2 linked regions of the Astyanax mexicanus genome follow. The protein of the gene in region 1 interacts with the protein of each later gene in a pairwise test. Links are inferred from orthologs where the notes say so. Each region holds a gene or a part of one and is shown on either strand. Other genes may lie near its edges.

Evidence for each region.
Region 2: the proteins of nmt2 (region 1) and acbd6 interact in binary tests that used the Homo sapiens proteins (3 or more experiments, as listed by UniProt). The link is inferred for Astyanax mexicanus from reciprocal best matches to the Homo sapiens genes NMT2 and ACBD6.

What each region holds. Positions count from the first base shown.
Region 1 is NC_064408.1:111,973,297-111,984,067, forward strand, and holds the start of nmt2 (glycylpeptide N-tetradecanoyltransferase 2), read left to right. Parts: upstream 1-6,411; 5' UTR 6,412-6,456; coding exon 6,457-6,566; intron 6,567-10,771. Other genes in the region: protein FAM171A1, read left to right, coding at 1-864.
Region 2 is NC_064419.1:9,251,675-9,262,160, forward strand, and holds the start of acbd6 (acyl-CoA-binding domain-containing protein 6), read left to right. Parts: upstream 1-6,321; 5' UTR 6,322-6,472; coding exon 6,473-6,613; intron 6,614-7,745; coding exon 7,746-7,810; intron 7,811-8,414; coding exon 8,415-8,511; intron 8,512-10,486. Other genes in the region: xpr1a (xenotropic and polytropic retrovirus receptor 1a), read right to left, coding at 2,765-2,833. UniProt on the Homo sapiens protein: Binds long-chain acyl-coenzyme A molecules with a strong preference for unsaturated C18:1-CoA, lower affinity for unsaturated C20:4-CoA, and very weak affinity for saturated C16:0-CoA. Does not bind fatty acids. Plays a role in protein N-myristoylation.

The sequences.
Region 1 (10,771 bases):
AAAGGAGAGGCAGTAAAAGGGGACAAAGAGGGAGGAGCTCTGGAGGAGGAGAAAGAGAGGTCAGGAGGGGATGGGGAGGGGCCTAGGCCAGCAGAAGAGTGGACTTTACAAACTGCAGCTCTGCCCGAAGCTTTATCCATTCCCAACTCGCTAAGTCAGGCAGGGCTAGGGGTGGTGCAGATGAATGGTGAGGACCAGCTATTGGCTGAAAAGACACTAATGGAGCTGAGGGGCGGGAAGCCCCTCCCACACCCACGAGCCTGGTTTGTGTCACTGGATGGCCGCTCAAACGCCGACATCCGCCACTCTTACATTGATCTGCAGAAGGCAAGCCACAATGCTAGTGTTGCAGGGAGCAACGACGCTAGCCTGGACTCGGGCGTAGACATGAGCGATCTCACGCCAGGCCGCAAGGGCAGAGGTCAAGAACGAGCCCGGCCTACATTGCCCACTTTGGAATACACACAGCTGGTGTTTGTGGAGAGTTCTAAAACTAATGATGATGCTAATGATAATGCTAACGCTAATGCCAAAGTCATCCCCACTCCAGTTTGCAGTCCAGAGGAAAACTCGCTCAACCTCTTGCTATCTGAGAGCGCAGGACCCGAATCACAAGAAGAGACTTTAACACTTTCATCGCCAACCCCATTGCTGCCTTCTCCTCCGCTGCCCTCACCTCCTCCCCTCCCTGAGCCCATGGTGGAGGAGGTAGAGGAGCTGGAGGAGAGAGGAGACGAAGAGCTGATCCTCAGAACTGAACACAAGAACGACCTTGCTGCCCCTGATGACAACGGTGAGGACGAAAATAAAAAGAGCCCTTGGCAGAGGCGCGAGGAGCGACCCCTGCTATCCTTTATGAAATGACCCCCCAGGCATTAAACTCAGCAATTTTGGTCGTGTTCAAATGACAGGAATTGCCTTTAAAGTGATAGTTTGGCAAAGTTAAAACATATGCAAATTATTTTTCTTCATCCCACATATAATGAGTTCCAAAAAATATCCCACTGAATTAGCCAAAATTTCTTTATTCATTTTGTTCTTGAGCATATATAATAAAGTCCCAGTTCTGCTATTTTCCTAATCGGACTCCACAGCAGACCCAGGATGTTCTTTGTTAGCAAGTTAAATCAGCATTATGTGGGTTCAGATTGTTACAATGTTATAGGATATATTACAGGTCAAGATGGTCTACATTTTTGCAGCAGTCCAACTTACAATACACAGGGATAAAAGCAAAAAATTTAACCCATTTTAGTCCCTCCACTGTCATACAGTGGCTTAAGGGCTACATAGTGACTAATATGGTCAATATGTCCAGTATTTCTTATTTTGAGGTTGTTGTAAGAGGGTTTGACTGTTAGTTTACTTGTTATTTTTCTTGTTTTAGCAGATCATGTGCTAATAAAAAAAAATACATTTAAAAATATATAATTTATGTTCTTACATGCAGGGCCATCATTGCCAATTGCCCAATGCTTATAGTCACAAAGTGTTATATTTTGGCCACCATTAAATGCTAATTTTTCATTTTGTCTGAGACATATTTATATCTGCCTATGCCTGCTTACAACAATCATAATGAGGAATATTGGAGATATTGAACTTCATTTAAGATGATTTCACTTGCCAGGATGTCTTTTTTAGTAGTTTAACAGCACGATTCTGTTGGAGGCAAGTGAAGGGCTGTTTAAAGCCAGTGATTACCAGCCTTCACCCTGAAGATCCACCTTCCCACAGGTTTTACTTTCAGTCCAAATCTAATGCACTTCATTTAGCTAATTGGGAAATAACCAGATTGGTCTGGTGAGGGGTGGGTTAGTGTTAGGATTGGACTTAAAATTAAGATGTGTTGGTGATCACTGATTAAGGTATATGATCTGCACAATGCTAGCAAACTAACTGTTGATTTAGAAACTACAGAAAAGAAATTACAGACACTAAAGATATCTTGACTAACTGACAGTTTGGGATGAGCGGGAAAAGTGTGTGAATATGAATTTTTGCCACACTATCACATTAAATACAAGCTTTGGGTTTGCCTATATATATTTTTTGTACTTCCAAAAGCAGAAGCGCTGAGACTCGAACTGATACAGAACTGACTCTAAGCAGCGCTTCAAAGTTCACAATCCAGGAACTTACCCAGGATGCTTATGTATGTATGAACTGAACTTCAAAAGCAAAAAAGCACTCCTTTTGAACACATTTATGCACAACAGCTATGCCTTTTATTATTTTTGTAAATGAACTGAGCAAAAAAGACCAGTTGTAAGACCAAGTATAGCTTTATGAATTTCTGATGTAGTTAATGTGAGCAATACAATGCAATGGTGTGGTTGGCAGCATATGGGCACTGCAGTAGGAGAATTGTAAGTGTGTGCAGCCTTTCCCGTTCTTTACTCCCCAGCTTTTAACTCTTGTGTTATGTATTTAATGAACGGTCTTCCATGGAATCTGCTCTGCTCTGGTCTGTTCTGTTTTGTGCAAGACCCTATTCACCCCTGCTTATTTCATGTGATTTTTGTATCTGGATTGTATTCTGATGAGATATTAACCATATGCATTAAGTGATCAGCTTTGTATCTGTTATGCAATCTTGATGTGTTAAAACCTTAAAAAGAGTTAGCATTATACGGATAAAATCCTGATACTCAAGATGCCTAAAGTGGCCAGGTGAAAACAGGGTCTTAGTGTCTCAATTTCGTTGGTGTTTATTTGTTTAATGCATTAGAATATAAATTTAACACTTACTCAGAGTTTGTGATTGATCCAGATCTAGAGCCATATAATTTGAAGGAGAAAATAAAGTAATAAAGCAACTTTCTATCATTTAAAAAACATTTACATATTTATAAATTCTGAATACGAACAGTAAATCAAAGAAATTGACAATACTTATTGTATTACCCTCTATACACTCTAAATCCAACTATTTGTGGACACTAATGAACGCATTCAGCTACTTCAAGTTGCACCCATTGCTCTTACAGACGTCACACAAGTTGTCCACTACTCATAGTGATGTACTGAAGACACTCTAGAGCAGATAACGGTAATCCAACTTTATATATATATATATATATATATATATATATATATATATATATATATATATATATATATATATATAGTGGAGGGAAAAGTATCTTACAGTTTAGCAAATGATGCAGATGCTGCACAATCTTTTCTGTATTATTTGACAATTCTCAAGCGGACAGATTCTCAGTGTTGTCGTACTGTTACATTTGTGAACTTGCGGATGTGCTTCACACATGCAGGCCCATAATGCTCACCACAGTGCCACAGCTATGCATTGCGTAAATACTGACAATTTGAAAGCTCAATATGCCTTTTTCCCCATTTTATTCACTGCTCTGTGGTTTAAAATGCAATATTTTAGTGAATGTTTTATCCAGCAAACCAAGTTGTTTTTAACTCATTGCTCGGATTTGCCTTTATTTAAGAATGAATACATCATACACACGCAGCCGTACATTCTTTTACATCCCAAAAACAGCTGTTTCTGTCAGAAGTGCCTCAAGCTGATGTGTCCATTTCACCACCATCACTTATCAGATTGGATCTCATCAGATCTCACTTCCATCTGACCATTAAAGACATGTAGAGATAGTTTTCCTGATGGGGATTAAGCCTTGCTGTACATCGTAATTTCCTTTTAATGTAAAAGTTCAGTTTAAATTGCTCTGTAGTCTGAGACTAGGCTTGATCCCCACATGGAAAGCTGCCCACTATTGTTTTTAGCCCCTGATTACTGTCGCTGTGTGTCTGAAAGAGAGAGTGAGAGAAAGAGAGATGTGTATGCTGTATTGTATATGTCTTTATATGAGTGTACTTTTCTGGCTGTGTTTGATCAGGTTTGGGAGTGTTTGTGTGTTTTTTGTGGACGTGCTACACCTGCTGCAGATGTAGCGGCTGTCTAAGCAAATGAGACTGTATATGAGACTGTACGAATATGAAAGTTGTGTTTGATGGCGTTTCTAACTGTGAGAGAACCACTCTTGAGTCAGTACTGTACAGCACTCTTCATCAGTCTACTCTGAATGCTCTGACTGCTTGCTTGTATTATAATTAAGGCTTAATTATCCAATAAAACATACAAAAAAATCTGTAGTTGTGTTTTTTATTTTTTTTTATTTTAATGCTCTGTTCGTGACCATATAACCAGGATTTAGCACCGACAGTGAAATGCCACATAGTGTTTGGATTACATTAATTTACCAGTTCAGTTTAATGGTTGTGATGTAAATGAAGTATTTCAGACAGGTTTGGTTATTGAGAAACTTCCCAACTAGGAACCCTAGGACACAATGTGAAATATAGCCAATTTATTTACTATCCACAACCATCAGTGAACTAAAGAATCTAAACATCACACTGAAAATCATCCACAACGAACATCAAACACATCATACTGAACGTAAAACATGGTGGTGCTAGTGTGATGGTCTGGGCATGTTTTGCTGCTTCAGGGTCTGTTCATGACCTCAAGCTCAGGCATTATTGGGTTCTGCAGCAGGACAATTACCCAAAGCACACAAACAAGTTCACCTCTAAATAGTTTAAAAAAAAAACTAAATGAAGGTTTTGGAGTGACCTAGTTAAAGTCTGATTGAGATGGTGTGGATGATCTTAAACAGGCTGTTCATCCTCGAAAATCCTCCAATGTGTCTGAATTAAGCTTGATTGCAGTTTTTGCCAAGAATAGAACAAACAAGTTAATAGTTTTACGGGCATTTTTCCACACAGGGCTAGGTTGGATAGGATTGGTTTGGATAGTTTTTTTGTTTAATAAATACAATTGTTTAAAAAGTGCTTTATATATGTACTCGGGTTATATTTGCTATTAAAGATTGTTTAATAATCAGAAAAATATTTGTACGACAAAAAAGCAAAAAAAAAAAAAAAAAGAAAGCTCTAGGGGAGCAAATACTTTTCACACCACTGTAAATGTGGTGATGCAGGTCTTGGTGCAGGAGAGAGTGATGTTCTGCCTGTACTCCTCCACTGCTTGAAGATGAACAAAGCTGGACAGCGGAACAGAATTATTTCGAGTGAACAGAGATCAGAGAGTTTTATTGACCCCTTCGAGCTCAAGGATAAAAATAAACACAAAAGTGTTGATCAGTAAAGAAAAATGCCATTCTTCTCATATTTTTCTATTATTTAATTCCTCAAATAACGCAAAGAAAACAAGTTCATATTCATAGTTTTAAGAGTTCAGAAATCATAATTCGGTGGAATAACCCTGGTTTTTAATCACAGTTTTCATGCATCTTGGCATGTTCTCCTCCACCAGTCTTACACACTGCTTTTGGATCTATCTTCCTCTTGATTATATTCCAGAGGTTTTTTTATTTGGTAAAATCAAAGTAACTAATTATTTTTAAGTGGTCTCTTATTTTTTTTCCAGAGCTGTATCTAATCCAAAGTCAGGGCAGGGTTTTCCTGGGAAATCTTACAGCACTTCATGCTTCCCTCTGCTGACAACTTTTATGGAGATGCAGATTGCATTTTTCAGCAGGACTTGGTACACTGTCAAAAGTACCAATTAGTCTTTAATCATATTCAAATTTTCTGAGATGTAAGCCATAATTACTAACAATAAAATAAATGAACGCTTAAAATAGATCACTCTGTGAGAAATACATCTATATAATATGTAAGTTTCAGATTTTGAACTGAATTACTGAAATAGCTTACCTTTTTAATTATATTCTTTTTTTAGATGCACCTGTCATGTGTCAGCAGTGGAAGCACTTACAGCTCTGGAAATAAAATAAGAGACCACTTAAAAATTATAAGTCTCTTTGATTTTTACCAAATTAAAAACCTCTGGAATATAATCAAGAGGAAGATGGATGATCACAAACCAACAAACAAAGCTGAACTGCTTGAATTTTTGCACCAGGAGTGGCATAAAGTTATCCAAAAGCAGTGTGTAAGACTGGTGGAGGAGAACATGCCAAGATGCATGAAAACTGTGATTAAAAATCTGAATTATTCCATTAAATATTGATTTCTAAACTCTTAAAACTTTATGAATATGAACTTGTTTTCTTTGCATTGTTTGAGGTCTGAAAGCTCTGCATCTTTTTGTTATTTCAGCCATTTCATAGTTACTGCAAATAAATGCTGTAAATGACAATATTTTACTTGGAATTTGGGATGAATGCTGTCTGTAATTTATAGAATAAAACAACAATGTTCATTTTACTCAAACATAAACCTATAAATAACTAAATCAGAGAAACTGATTCAGAAACTGAAGAGGTCAGTTAATTTTTTCAGCACTGTATAGGAACAGGCCTAAGAAGGAGGGTGCAGTGTTGGAGCTCTGTGTGTAGAGGGCGCTGTTTCCCCCGCTGTCTCTCAGTGCAGTGATCAGGTTAGCTCGCAGGCTAAGCTAGCGGGTCAGAGCGCCTCTCTACCCCGGCGATGGCGGAGGACAGCGAGTCTGCGGCCAGCCAGCAGAGCCTGGAGCTGGACGACCAGGACACCTGCGGCATCGACGGAGACAACGAGGAGGAGAATGAGCACATGCAGGGGTGAGCAGCGTCCGAAATCCGCAGAAAACTCCTAAAAATGCCCTTTAATCTGATGGGTCTCACAGCGCCTGCTTAGCACCGCGGCCACAGCCGGTTTATGGCGAGCCTACACGCTGTTATAGCAGAGAAATCACTGCTGACCAGTAGGGGGCGTCCGCGAGGGAGCCCATAATGAACGGGGGTGAATGGAGCTAATCGGCTAAAAACTCTTCTTTAAAATTGTAATCAACTAATTGTCAGGGATATTCGTTTAGTTTTGGAAATTATAATTAAGTATTTCGCTAACGAAGCAAAGATAACGTACCTGTATCTTTTATATTTCCTACAGTAAGCTGGTTTTAGGCAGTAAAGGCGCTAGCGTTACTGCTACTGTGAGCTGTTTGGCTGATTAACCTAGAGTTAACAGTTTCATCCCTGAGTTTAAAAGGCATTTTATATTAGGGCTGCAACTAATGATTATTTTGGTAGTCGACTAATCTAATGATTATTTTTTTGATTAGTCGATTAGTCCACGATTATTTCTGCCATGTCCTCCATCTCTAAAAATGATAGAAACATGAGATTTAAAAGCCTTTTATGTTTATATGTTGTTTTAACATAGTAAAAGTGCTAATATTTTGTGAATAAATATGGAATCTGTTGTGTTTGGGCATTTTTGGACATACAGACAAGTTAAGTGTAAACTGTGTGAGTGAGCCTTTTACCCATCTCCCATTACAATTCTGTCCCCAGCACTTTGTGTAATGCAGTAACGTTACAAATTAATGATTAGTCAACAATGAAATTTGAAGTTTTTTTTTTTTTTTTTTTTTTTTTTACTGTTTAGGGATGGTTTATGAAATAAAACGTTCAATATAAAATACAAAATATTACACGTAGGCTCACAATGCAATAGAAATAAAAAAAAATACTTAATTGGTTAAAATTTTCTATGTGAATTTTATAGTAGAATATTAGTCTTCTTTTCTGTGCATTACAGTCAGAAAACAGCATTCTTACATTTTTTTTATTATATTGTTGAAACAAACCCTAGAGAGGTTAAGTTAACCTCAGGGATAACAGGCTACAAGTGTAGGTGATACAAAACCCTTTTTTCTGCAGTAAAATAGGTCATTAACATTCTGAAAACTTTGAGGGGGTTGAAATTTCCTCTGGACACTTGGAGAAGCTGCCTGTTCGCTCTCTACTCCACTTAATAATTCCAGATCAGTAACATAATTTCAGATCAGTAACAGGAATCAACCCAAATTCTGCATGTTTGAAAATAGACGTAAAAACTAGACAACCGTAACAAAACGAAAGGTTTGGAAGAAATAAATCTCTGATTTGTATTGAAGTTCAGTAAAGAGTAGGGGTGGGCAATATTATATCGTATACAATATATCGTGGCACAGAAATATCATGATATTAAAAATCCATATTGTGATAATAGGGCTGTTCTGTCTATTATTTACTGTGAAGCTTTAGGTTTATTTATTGTAAAATTGTTTAAGTTTGCAGTTTATATGCATGCACTAAATATTCTGCAATATTTTTTGCTGCATTATATTATTTTATGCTATATTATTTATTTTGCCACATTATGATTATTCTGTTATAGTATTATACTATATTCCTGAAATGAAATGAATTATTTTAGTTATCCTTTATCATTATCTCAAAAATACCCTGAAATATTGTGATATTATTTTAGAGCCATATCGCCCGCCCCTAGTAAAGAGCCAATTTTATGATTGTTAGTCATTATATTTTTTAAGTTGCAGATTTACTTACATTTTTAAGATAATTTCTATTACGATTACAATTAGAATTTGCAGCAACGTTTATCATTAAACATGAAATCTTTTTTATGTAGTTCATAAATAGAAAAAGATTTTGGTGTGTAATATCAGGCAGAAAATTGACAAAAATGCTAGCCTGTTAAGGGGTTAAGTTAAGTGGGTGTTCTCCTCTGTACAGAGTCTCTCTGCACCGCGGCTAGCCGTGTTTGCTAGCTAACTAACTAGCATTAGCTTAGCTCTGTTAGCTAGGTTAGCTTAGCTTAGCTAGCTGTCAACAATAAGCGGTTTGTGGATGTCGGCGGGTTGTTCTGTGGTTTAAGTGAGAAATCTGGGTTTGGCAGGGCTCGGATTTACAGCTGAGCACTAAAACAATTCTGAAATCGTTCCTGTGCTGCGGTTATATATCGGTTTTCTCACTGATAGCGGCTAAAGCTCAGTGGCTAAAGCTGGTTTGAATGGGAGGCAGGGCTCTGTTTTCAGGCTGGCTGTGATGTTAAATCAGCTAATAGGCATTTTCTTGTGTAAATTAACTGCGCATTTTTAATCAGGGCTGTTATTTAACGCCTAAAGTTGGGTTAAATAGCAGACGTTTACTGACGGTGGTCACCAAACCAGCACTAATCTACTAAAGCTAGTAAGCTAGAAAACCTAACGTTTCTGTGTAGCCGGTAAGATTAGCCAGCAAGCTAACGAGCTAGCTGATGACAGGCCGGTTATTGAAATGATGTTAGCTAGCTAATTAGCTAACAAACAAACACGGCAACGTCTTGACAACGCTGGGACAGCCTGTTGTTTGGTGCTCTCTACGTTCCCACAACGTGTACATGCAGCTAATTAAGCAGAAACTTGAGAAAACATTATCTGACAGCATGTCAGAAGGTCGTGACAACGTTTTAATGACAGTTTTGAGACAACAAACAGCACCACGTTTTGACAACGTTGCAAGAAAAGCATAAAACGTCGCGACAACCTATTGCTGTGTTGTCTCAACGCTGGGACAGCCTGTTGTTTGGTGCGCTCTAAGTTGCCCCAACGTTTTGAGACAATAAACAGCACCACCTTTTAACAACGTTGTGACAACCTATTGTTTTTTTATCTGATCGCATTCTGGCAGGTGTTTTTGAAAACACTAGGACAACGCTAGGACAGCCTGAGGTTTGGTGCCCTCTACGTTTTCAAAACGTGTAAAATGTAATTAGTTACTAAGTCAACAAGTTGTGAAAACCTTATCTGACTTCATGCGAGGAGGGCATGACAACCTTTTAATAACAGTTTTCAGTCAACAAACAGCACCACATTTGGACAACATTGTGACAACCTTTTGTTTTGTTATCTAACAGCATAATTAATTAGAAAGTCAATAAATTAAAACCTAATCTAGCTAGTTAACAGCATGCCAGAAGTTTTTGACAACATTTTAATAACAAACAGCACCAATTTTGACAACATTGTAAGAAATTAGACAACGTTGTGACAACCTATTGCTGTGTTGTCGCAATGTTTGAAAGGTGATAAAAGAGAACACTTTGCCACTGTTAACCACCGGCTGTGTGAAAGCATGCCATAAGGTTAAAAGCAGAAAATGTTGTGAGAAACTACTGCTGCATTGTCAAAACTTTTAAAAGGTTATTAGTTAAACAAAAGTTTGTCACATTGTTGTCAGAAGGTGGTAGATACTGTTTACGCTGTCTTTAAAATCATGCTGTAAACAGTATCTACCACCTTCTGACAACAATGTGACAACCTAATGTTGACAGCACTGTGGCTTTTTTGACAACTTTGTGGCAATGCTAGGACAGCCACATATTGAGTATTGACATTCATTATTCAGGTATAAGTATAGATACTAGGGTTTAAAAAAACCTTCAGTAGTATCAACTCAAGCTTTATACTCAAGTAATAGTGTAAAAATACTGGTTTTAAAACTACTAATTTGTGAAAGTAATGTAAGGGGGTATATTTTTACTTTTTGTCCAACAGTGTGTAAAATGTAACTAATCAGTAAGTCAAAAAGTTGTGAAAATGTTCTCTACCTAACAGCAAGCCAGGAGGTCATGACAATGATTTGATAACAATTTTGAGACAACAAACAGCACCACCTTTTGACAAAGTTGTTAGAAAGCACTTGTCACAACGTTTGAGTGGTGGGTTAATTAAAGAAAATGTTGTGACCCTGTTGTGAAGGTTGGGAAAATTGTGAATATTATTTTTTAAGGCAGCGTAAACCGTAGCTACTACCTTTAGGCTGTTCTTGTTGCCACAACATTGTCTGTTTGGTCCTATGCACATTGACAGTATTTTGAAATGTAGCTTTGTGTTGAATCAGAAAGTTGATATATAACATGTTTTTGGGAGATTGTAACAATGTTGTGAGTTACTAAAGGTGGGCAATATGGCAAAAAATATAATATTGCAGAACTTCTA
Region 2 (10,486 bases), on another chromosome or scaffold:
AGCCAGAGACTCTTATGCGGCTGAAGGACTCGTCTGAACCCAGAAAATACAGCGTGTTATTAAAATACACAACATTTTTAGCTATTTTGTCTTTAAAAGTTTTTTTTAAATGCAAAGAAATATGTGATTTGCACACTTTAAGACTGAATAAATAGAAAAACCAAACAAAACTAATAATTTAAGCATGTTTTTCTATTTACTTAACCATGTTTTACTTTAACTGTGTAGGTGGTATATATGTATATATGTATTTTGTATTTTTTTGGCACCTTCTACATTTATTTTAGAAGATATAAAAATAATTTAGCAAAGCGGAAATGTGCGTATGTATATATATATATATATATATATATATATATATATATATATATATATAGCTTTGTTTCTCTATTTATATATATATATATATATATATAGCCTTTAATCCTTTAATCTTAAAAAAAGTAGTGTTTTTGTTATTTATATATTTTATACTGTTTAATATAGATATAAATTCATGACTCAAACTAATTAAATAGAGATTTTAAAAATTATACGTATTACATGAATTTTCTCCACTTACTGAAGCATGCTTCTCTATAATAACATTATGTTTCAATTATAACAAAGCACATAAGTAATATATGAGGGATATATCTTTTCTGAATGATATAGAAATTAATAAATAAAGAAAAAAATATTGTAAAAGCTTAATATAAAGAAACAAAAATATTTTAAATTCAATTCTAAAAGTAAATATAGAACAATTTATAAACTTGAAAAATAAAAATTGAATTTTCTAGTCAAATTTTCTAGCCGTCCCTGAATCTACAGGCTGTAATCAGTGTGTGTGTGTGTGTGTGTGTGTGTTCATATATAAGACAAATGAATTCAGTGTGGAGGGGAATTCTGACAGATGGGTGCTGGTTCTGTCCCACTGGGAGCGTGAGAGATAAAGACTGATTTAGGAGGAGGTCCGGGGCCGAACAAGGCGAAGACAAAGAGCCGCATGATCCCACACACACTCACACACACACGCACACACACACACACACACACACACACACACACACACACACACACACACACAAACACTTCCAGTGACCACCATTGACATGTATAAGAATGATAGCTTGGCCGGGGGGTGGGTTGGGGGAGTGTGGACGAGCGTTTATACAGGTTAATCACTTGTTATTGCAAAAGCCCATTATGTTTTACATCTGCACCAGAACTATCCCTCACCATGCTTAGTTCTACTGAAGATCAAAGAGCTACTTCTGATTCTCCATCACTCATGACAAGAAGAACATCAGGATCACCAAGAATAATCCAAAATAAATAAAAAAAAATCCAGAATGAATCAGAATAATCCATTACAAATAAAACAACCCAGAATTTATCTGACGAATACACAATATTTCAGAAATAATGCAAAATATATCATAAATAATTAATGAGAATAATCTAATAAATCTAAATCTAAATAATCCACCACAAAATAAACCCGACTAAGTAAGAACAATTAAGAGGCACCTGCAAACAGTCCGAATATATCAAGAGAAATCAAAATAATCTGGAAAAAAAGAAAAGAAATAATCTAAGGCAGGCAAAATAAACCCAGAAAACAACTAAGGAAAAGTCAAAACTGACATGAAAGCCACATAGTATGCAAAATTCACACAAAGATGTGTTAAAATATGTCAAATTAAGACAGCATATGTCCAAGCAAGTCAGTTTAAAACAGGGTGAAGCTAAAAAAATGTCAGTATAATCCAGAATAAAACAAAACATGACTCTTATAAATTAAAATATTATTACTTAGTTTTGATAATAATGCTATGCAATATTAAAACTGGAATGATCTGAAATAAATCAGACTATTGCCCATCATCTGGAATAAATCTGAACAGGTTGGGATAAATCTGAACAGGTTGGAATCCATCTGAACAGGTTGGAATAATCTGGAATACATCTGAACAGGTTGGAATAATCTGGAATAAATCTGAACAGGTTGGAATATCCTATAATAAATCTGAACAGTTTGGAATAATCTGGAATAAATCTGAACAGGTTGGAATAATCTGGAATAAATCTGAACAGGTTGCAATAATCTGGAATAAATCTGAACAGGTCGGAATAATCTTTAATAAATCGAAACAGGTTGGAATAAGCAGGAATATATATGAACACGCTGAAATAATCAGGAATAAATCTAAACAGATCGGAATAATCTGGAATAAAATTGAACAGGCTGAAATAATCTGGAATAAATCTAAACAGGTGGGAATAATCTGGAATAAAATTGCACAGGCCAAAATAATCTACAATAAATCTGAACATGGCAAAATATTCCAGAATAAATCTGAACAGGTTGGAATAATCTGGAATAAATATGAACAGGGCAGAATAATCCCAGAATCAATATGAACAGGTTGGAATAATCTGGAATACATCTGAACAGGTTGGAATAATCTGGAATAAATCTGAACAGATTGAATAATCTGGAATAAATTTGAACAGAACAGAATAATCTGGAAAAAAATCTGAACAGAACAGAATAATCTGGAATAAATTTAAACAGAACAGAATAATCTGGAATAAATCTGAACAGGACAGAATAATCTGGAATAAATCTAAACAGGTTGGAAAACTGACTTTAATTCAAGAATAATTCAGGTCCAAAGTTCACGGTCATGCTGTTACACTTTATACACTCTCTGACCTCACTGACCCCTGAGTGTGTGTGAGTGTGTGTGAGTGAGTGTGTGTGAGTGTGTGTGTGTACCTCATACTGGATGTACTGTTTCCTCCACTCGGGGGTGATGTGGGCTGAAAGGTGCTCAGCGAACTTCATCCTGAAGATCCGATCACTCCCTCACCCCCCGCACACTCTCTCACCCCTCAACACACTCCACACACACTAAAGCTCCGGGATAATCTCTGCCGTGTGTTTGTCCGCGCGCTTATCACGCTGTCAGAGGCATATCCGCGAGCCCGAGTAAACAAACTCAGTCCGAGAGAAAGAGAGAGAGGGAGAGTTACACAGACTGAAAGAGAGAGAGTCTGACTGAAGAACTGCGACTGAATCTGCTGTAACCCACTCACTGCCCCGCCCTCCTCAACAGGCCCCGCCCCCTCTCTCATTCTGCCCCTCCCTCCTCCCCTGCGGCGTACACCGGCCTGCGTCATGACGCACAGACGCGCTGCCGTTTATTTAAATTTAACATAGCACCAAATATAGCAAAAAATAAATAAATACAGATAAAAAATAAAAATAAATAAAATAAAATAATAATAATAATATGTTAAAATGTTACAGCTACTTCATAACATGAAAAAATAATTAATTAAATATTCTACAACTATTACAAATTACTACTATTAATTTAAAAAATAAAAAAATAAAACTACTACTATACAGTGAACTTGCCTACATTATTAGTATTGAATTTTAAAAAAGGTTGATTTAATTACTATTACTACTAAAATATTAATAACAGTTTAATACATATGTTGTATTTCACAGATTTCACAGCTGAGGCTGTCACAAAGCACGCATAGGAAAAATTATAATATACCAAAAATTAATAACAAGGACAACAATAATAAAGAAAATAAAAAAAACAATTCATAATTGATTAAACCATCAACTACTCAATTACTATGACTATTACAACCTTACACATATACTACTACAACTACTACTACTACTTCTATTACAACAGCTACAACTAAAACCATAACAACTACTATTACAACTACTACTTCTACTACTATTGCTACTACTGCTACTACTATTGCTAATTATATTACTACACCTACTACTGCTGCAACAACTACAAATACTACTAGCACTACAGCAGCCTGGTTCATTCTGAGAACTCTTTTTTATGCCACTGATAAAAATGGTAAACATATAATGATACAATTAATTCAAATAGCAATTAACTTGTAATTATTGGCATACATATTTGTACACTGTAATTAAAACAAATATCGTAATAAGTAGGTGCTTAAAAATTGTAAGTAAATAAGACATAAGCAAAATTATTTAATTTATGTTAATAGGCTCTCATGCCTAAAAAGGATGCTGAGGTTAGCAAAACCATTGAAGTCATGTGGATATATTATATAATAATGGGATGAGTTATATTTGTGAGAGTGTGAGACAATCCAGTAGCAACATCAGTCTCCATCATTAGTCAGACAGGACCGGATAAAATCAGCCGAACCTGAAATCCTTGAAAGAGTAACACTCAGTATCTACAATGAATTATTCAGAAGTTATTCAGTATGAAATATGTCTTTAATTTATTTATTAACACGCTCCTGAAAGCACTGTGTTAAACATAGGGATAAAAGAAAGGTTGGAAAATAGTCGTGTGAGTTTTTTCCTCTGAAGAAGCAAACAGTCAGCACTCTGTGTGTGTAAAACGCACGGACACAGCGCCACCCTGCGGGCTCAGCCAGTAATGCAACTTTATTATTCAACATAAATAAACACTGTACTAATTTATGGGCAAACAAAATATTAAATATAATTAATGTTTTTCTTGTGGTAATTAAAGTAAACAAAACAAGCAGCAAAAAAGCAGCAAATGTTGTTCAGCACCTCCAGGAACACCTTTAAGACACTGAGAAAACTATTCCAGGTAGTTTTCACCTAGAGTGTGCAGATCTGTACTCAAAGATAAATGTGATGCTTAAAATAATCTAAAATATAAAACATAATTTGGTTTGTTTAACACTTTTTAATTCACAAAAACTGAACTGTATAACTTTATAATGTAAAACATCACTATTTTTAAATAACTACAATTAAAAATAATTCATCCTTTATTTTATAAAATTCCAAACTATGTAAATCTTGGGAACATAAAAATAAAGCTCGGCTTTGATTGGTTAGAAGCTCGTCCCAGAATGACGCATACAGGTAAAAATGCATAAAATGCTTTCTTTATATGACAGAGTTTAAACAAACAAACAAACAAACAAACAAAATAGATAGACATTAGAAGATATTAGATATTAGAATAACAGATAATTGAAGAAAAAAATAGAAAAATAAAGCTCGCCCCTGATTGGTCAGAAGCTCGTGGTCTTCGAGAGCTTGCTCCTCTCTGATTGGCCCAGGTCATGCTCGCTGCGAAACAGCACGCGCTGTGTTTAATAAAACTCAGATTTAAGTTATCCAGAGAATCAGTAAAGCCGGATTAATCAGACCGAACTCGAACTCTGTATTCATTCTGTAATCCCGCTCCACCGTTCAGTCCGGGTCAATCCGGAGCATTTACAGCGCCGGACCTGCCCGGACCAATAGGAACCCACTTTTATTTACGCCTGTTTTCCGCCATCTGCAAATCCTGACCTCTTACTGAGTGGCTACTTCGAATAAAATATATATTATAATAACATTAATTACAATATTAAACAAACAACATTAAAATATATATTTTTGTTGGTTTAAGTAGTTATAGATGTTACAGTAAACAATGCAACATAGAGTAAATTATATAATAATTATACTACTACTTACTACTTATTATTTTAATGCTGGTGTGTAAAACAACCAACATAACGTAAAATAAATAAATATGATTAATCCATTTTTTCTGTATATAATTCTATTAATCTCAAAATGGGTTACATAATTATAGAAATAGATTATAACTCAGCATATTTACATTCACTAAATTACATAAAATAAAAAACAGCTCAAATTGATATCATAACAACCACAATCCTATAAATAATCGTGAGTAAAATGCAGAGAAAATAGCGAATAATGAATCAGAAAATACATTAAATAATTCTGTAAATTGTGCAGCAACGTTTCTATTAAAATTAGCACTCTAATACATATTTATTAGGTAACGCATCAAACATCTAATAAATAAATATGATAAACAATCCTTTTTTTATTTTCTTTAAATTGTCCTATTAATCCTATGTTGATGTCAATATGAATAATTCATGACAATTTCTGATATATTTAGTGTAATAGATTATAACTAAGCATAAAGTTTAGTAAACACAAATAAAAATCCAGCCCACAGTTCACACCATAATCACACAATACTGTAAATAATCGAGTATAATGCAGACACAAATCCAGATAATGATTAATTATAAAATACTAAATAATACTAAATAACCCTTTCAAAGGAGCATTAAATAATAAAATACAAACTACATTTGAATGATTCGTGAACTATGTATAGTTCAGTAAATAATGGAGTCAAAATGTTAGTTCTGCAGATTTTACAGTGAACCAGCCAATCAGAACACAGCGGGGCACAATACGGGTGGGGATCTGAGGAGGCCCCGCCCCCGTGACCCGGATGTTGTGTGTGTGAGCGGTGTGTGTGAAGCTGAATGCTGTAGATCAGCAGGTTTATCCCGCAGCGTCGCTGTTTTTACTGTTATTAATAATAATAATTCGCGTATTAGTGCTGCTCCTCTCTGTATCATTACTCTTATTAATAATCCCGCCATGGCCTCGCGCTCGTCCTCGCCGGACTCTGACGGTTCGGAGCTTCAGGAGGAATTCGAGAGTGCAGCGGACCGGGTCAGAGAACTGGTCCAAACAGCACCCAGAGACAAGCTGCTCTACCTGTACGCCAGGTACAAACAGGTGAGAGGAGGGGGAGGGGCTTCTGATTATCCTCATATTAACAACCACATCTGGACACTTTAATAGAAACGTCCCTACCGTGTGCTTACACTTACTGGCCACTTTATTAGAAACACCTATCTGCTTTTACTGACTGGCCACTGTATTAGAAACACCTACTTACTATCTTGTGCTTCCACTCACTGGCCACTTTATGAGAAACACCTACTTACTATCTTGTGCTTCCACTCACTGGCCACTTTATTAGAAACATCTACTTATTACCCTGTGCCTCCACTCACTGGCCACTTTATTAGAAACACCTACTTATTACCTTGTGCTTTCACTTACTGACCCATTTATTAAAAACACCTACTGTACCTTGTGCACCTCTGTGGCCACTTTATTAGAAACACCTACCTGCTTCCACTGACTGGCCACTTTATTAGAAACACCTACTTACTTTTAATGACTGGCCACTTTATTAGAAACACCTACCGGCTCCCACTGACTGGCCACTTTATTAGAAACACCTACTTGCTTTCACTCACTGGCCATTTTATTAGAAAACACCTACCTGCTTCCACTGACTGGCCACTTTATTAGAAACAACTACTTATTTTCAATGACTGGCCACTTTATTAGAAACACCTACTTGCTTCCCCTTACTAGCCACTTTACTAGAAACACCTGCTTGCTTTCACTGACTGGCCACTTTATTAGAAACACCTGCTTGCTTCCACTGACTGGCCACTTTATTAGAAACACGTACCTGCTTCCACTGACTGGCCACTTTACTAGAAACACCTACTTGCTTTCACTTACTGGCCACTTTACTAGAAACACCTACTTGCTTCCACTGACTGGCCACTTTATTAGAAACACCTACTTGCTTTCACTCACTGGCCATTTTTATTAGAAACACCTACTTATTACCTTGTGCCTCCACTCACTGGCCACTTTATAAGACACCCACCTGCTTCCACTCACTGGCCACTTTATTAGAAACACCTACCTGCTTTCACTCACTGGCCATTTTTGTTAGAAACAGTGTATTTCTACTGTAATAACATTTAATAAGAGTAGTACGCTGTAATATAATGCTGTATAATGTTTATTTGTTCTTATAATGTTTATGCTGTTTATTCACCAGGCTAAAGTTGGAAAGTGTGACACACCCAAACCAGGATTCTTCGATTTCGAGGGTCAGAGAAAATGGTGAGTCTCAGCATGTTTACAGACAGTTGATTTAGACAGATAATAATAAATAAATAAACTGCATTACCCTTGTGGTATATTTAGTCACAGTTAATAACATGTTTAATATCTGTCAAGTTTTCTTTGTATTTGCATTTAACTAAATTATACATTAGAAGCATTAAAGAAAAACAGAGATTGTGAGGTGAAGGCGTGTGTTGTGCTGTTATATGAGTCGATCATACACAGCAGTGCTGCTGTAGGTTTTAAACGACTCACCACCCAAATAATAATAATAATAATAATAATAATAATAATAATAATAGCTGCTCTGAGTTGTTTTTCTCTCCTGTGGGGTCTTGAGTATTATGGAACAGGATAAAAGGAGGATAATAATAATAAAGTATGCAGAGAACAGATACAGATCTACAGTCTGTAATTTTAGAACTACACAGTGTCCTATACAGTCAAATGAATAATGTGTATAAAAACTAGTCATCATTTTATGATGTTATTGATCAGTGTGTATATAACTGTTACATCAGAACACAGATTATTTTTGGTCCTCTGTATGATATTATAATGCTAAGAGGTGTGTGTGTGTGTATGTGTGTGTGTTCTGCAGGACGGCGTGGAAGGATCTGGGGGATATGAGTAAAGAACAGGCTATGCAAGAATATGTGTCGTGTGTAAATGAGCTGGATCCAGAAGGGAGCGCTAAGGTACTTTTAAACCCCGCCCTTTCATACAGCACCACTCACACACCTGTCCTGCTCTTAAATGTTGTATATTTTGATAAAAGGAAATAATTTCAGTTGCTGCAGTCAGTATTGACTGCATGTGACCAGCAGATGGCAGTGTCTGACTGTTAGAATCCCTAAGCAACGTTTCCCTTCATTCAGCAAATGTTTTTTTTTTTTTTGATGACCTATGTTCAACACTATTATTAAAAATCAAATAACAGGTGTATTCAGTGGGATCAGTTCTATAAAATGTGTAAATTCCAGTAAGATCATTATTGAACTAAGGGAACTAAATGCTTTTGTATTACCAGTGCTGAACTTTCAAACCTGTTCAGACCTGTGTAGACCTCTGAACTAAACCAAATCATGTTGAATCAGTACTGAACTGACGTCAACTGAATCATTTTGGATCCGTGCTGGATTGAAATTAACTGAATTATATCCAGTAGGATTACTGCTAAACTGAGGAGGATTGAATCATTGCACCGAAGTGAGCTGTATCATTTTGGATCAGCATTAAATTGAATCATATCCAGTAGGATCGGTGCTGAACTTTTAAACCTGTTCAGACCTGTTTAGACCTCTGAACTGAAACAGATCATGTTGGATCAGTATTAAAGTGAAGGTGAACTGAATTGTATCTAGTAGTATCAGATCTAAATTGAAGAGAACTTAATCGTATCATGTAGGATCAGTACTAAACTGAACTGTATCAGTATTGAACTGAAGTAAACTGAATCATTTTAAATCAGTACTGAACTAAAGTGGACTGATTTTGAATGATGATCTGATCTGATCTGAGTCTTGTTGGATCAGCTGAATCGTATGAAACTGAATCTGAATCAAGTCAGACCAGTATTAAACTGAAGTGAACTGAATCAAATTCCAAAGGATCAGCACTAATCTGCACTAATTTAAAATAAATTGTCTCGATTCCAGTAGGATTAATATTAAAATGAAATGAACAGAATATTTTTGAATCAGTACTGGACTGTAGAAAACTGAATAGTGTCAAATCAGTATAGACCTGAAGTAAACTGTTTTTTGTTGGTTCAGTATTAACTTATAGTGAACTGAATCATGTCAGATCAGTATTAAACTGAAGTGAACTAAAGCTTTTTGGATCAGTATTAAACTGAAGTGAACTGAACCTTTTTGAATCAGTATTGAACTGAAGTGAACTGAACCTTTTTGGATCAGTATTATACTGAAGTGAACTAAATCTTTTTGGATCAGTATTAAACTGAAGTGAACTGAACCTTTTTGGATCAGTATTAAACTGAAGTGAACTGAACCTTTTTGAATCAGTATTGAACTGAAGTGAACTGAACCTTTTTGGATCAGTATTAAACTGAAGTGAACTAAATCTTTTTGGATCAGTATTAAACTGAAGTGAACGGAACCTTTTTGGATCAGTACTGAACTAAAGTGAACTAAATGTTTTTGGATCAGTATTAAACTGAAGTGAACTGAATCTTTTTGGATCAGTACTGAACTAAAGTGAACTAAATGTTTTTGGATCAGTATTAAACTGAAGTGAACTGAATCTTTTTGGATCAGTATTGAATTGAAGTGAACTAAAGCTTTTTGGATTAGTATTAAACTGAAGTGAACTGAATCTTTTTGGATCAGTATTGAATTGAAGTGAACTAAAGCTTTTTGGATTAGTATTAAACTGAAGTGAACTGAATCTTGTTGCATTAGTATTAAATTGAAGTGAACTGAACCTTTTTGGATCCGTATTAAACTGAGGTGAACTAAATCTTTTTGGATCAGTATTGAACTGAAGTGAACTGAATCTTTTTGGATCAGTATGAGCTGAAGTGAATTGAATCTTCTTGTATATGGCAAATTGTTTACCATGTATTAAACAACTTTATCATAAAATAACAACCCTAGCTTGTCTTAGCGTCCTTCTGTTTGAAGAAAGGGGAGGAAAAATATATCTAGTTTT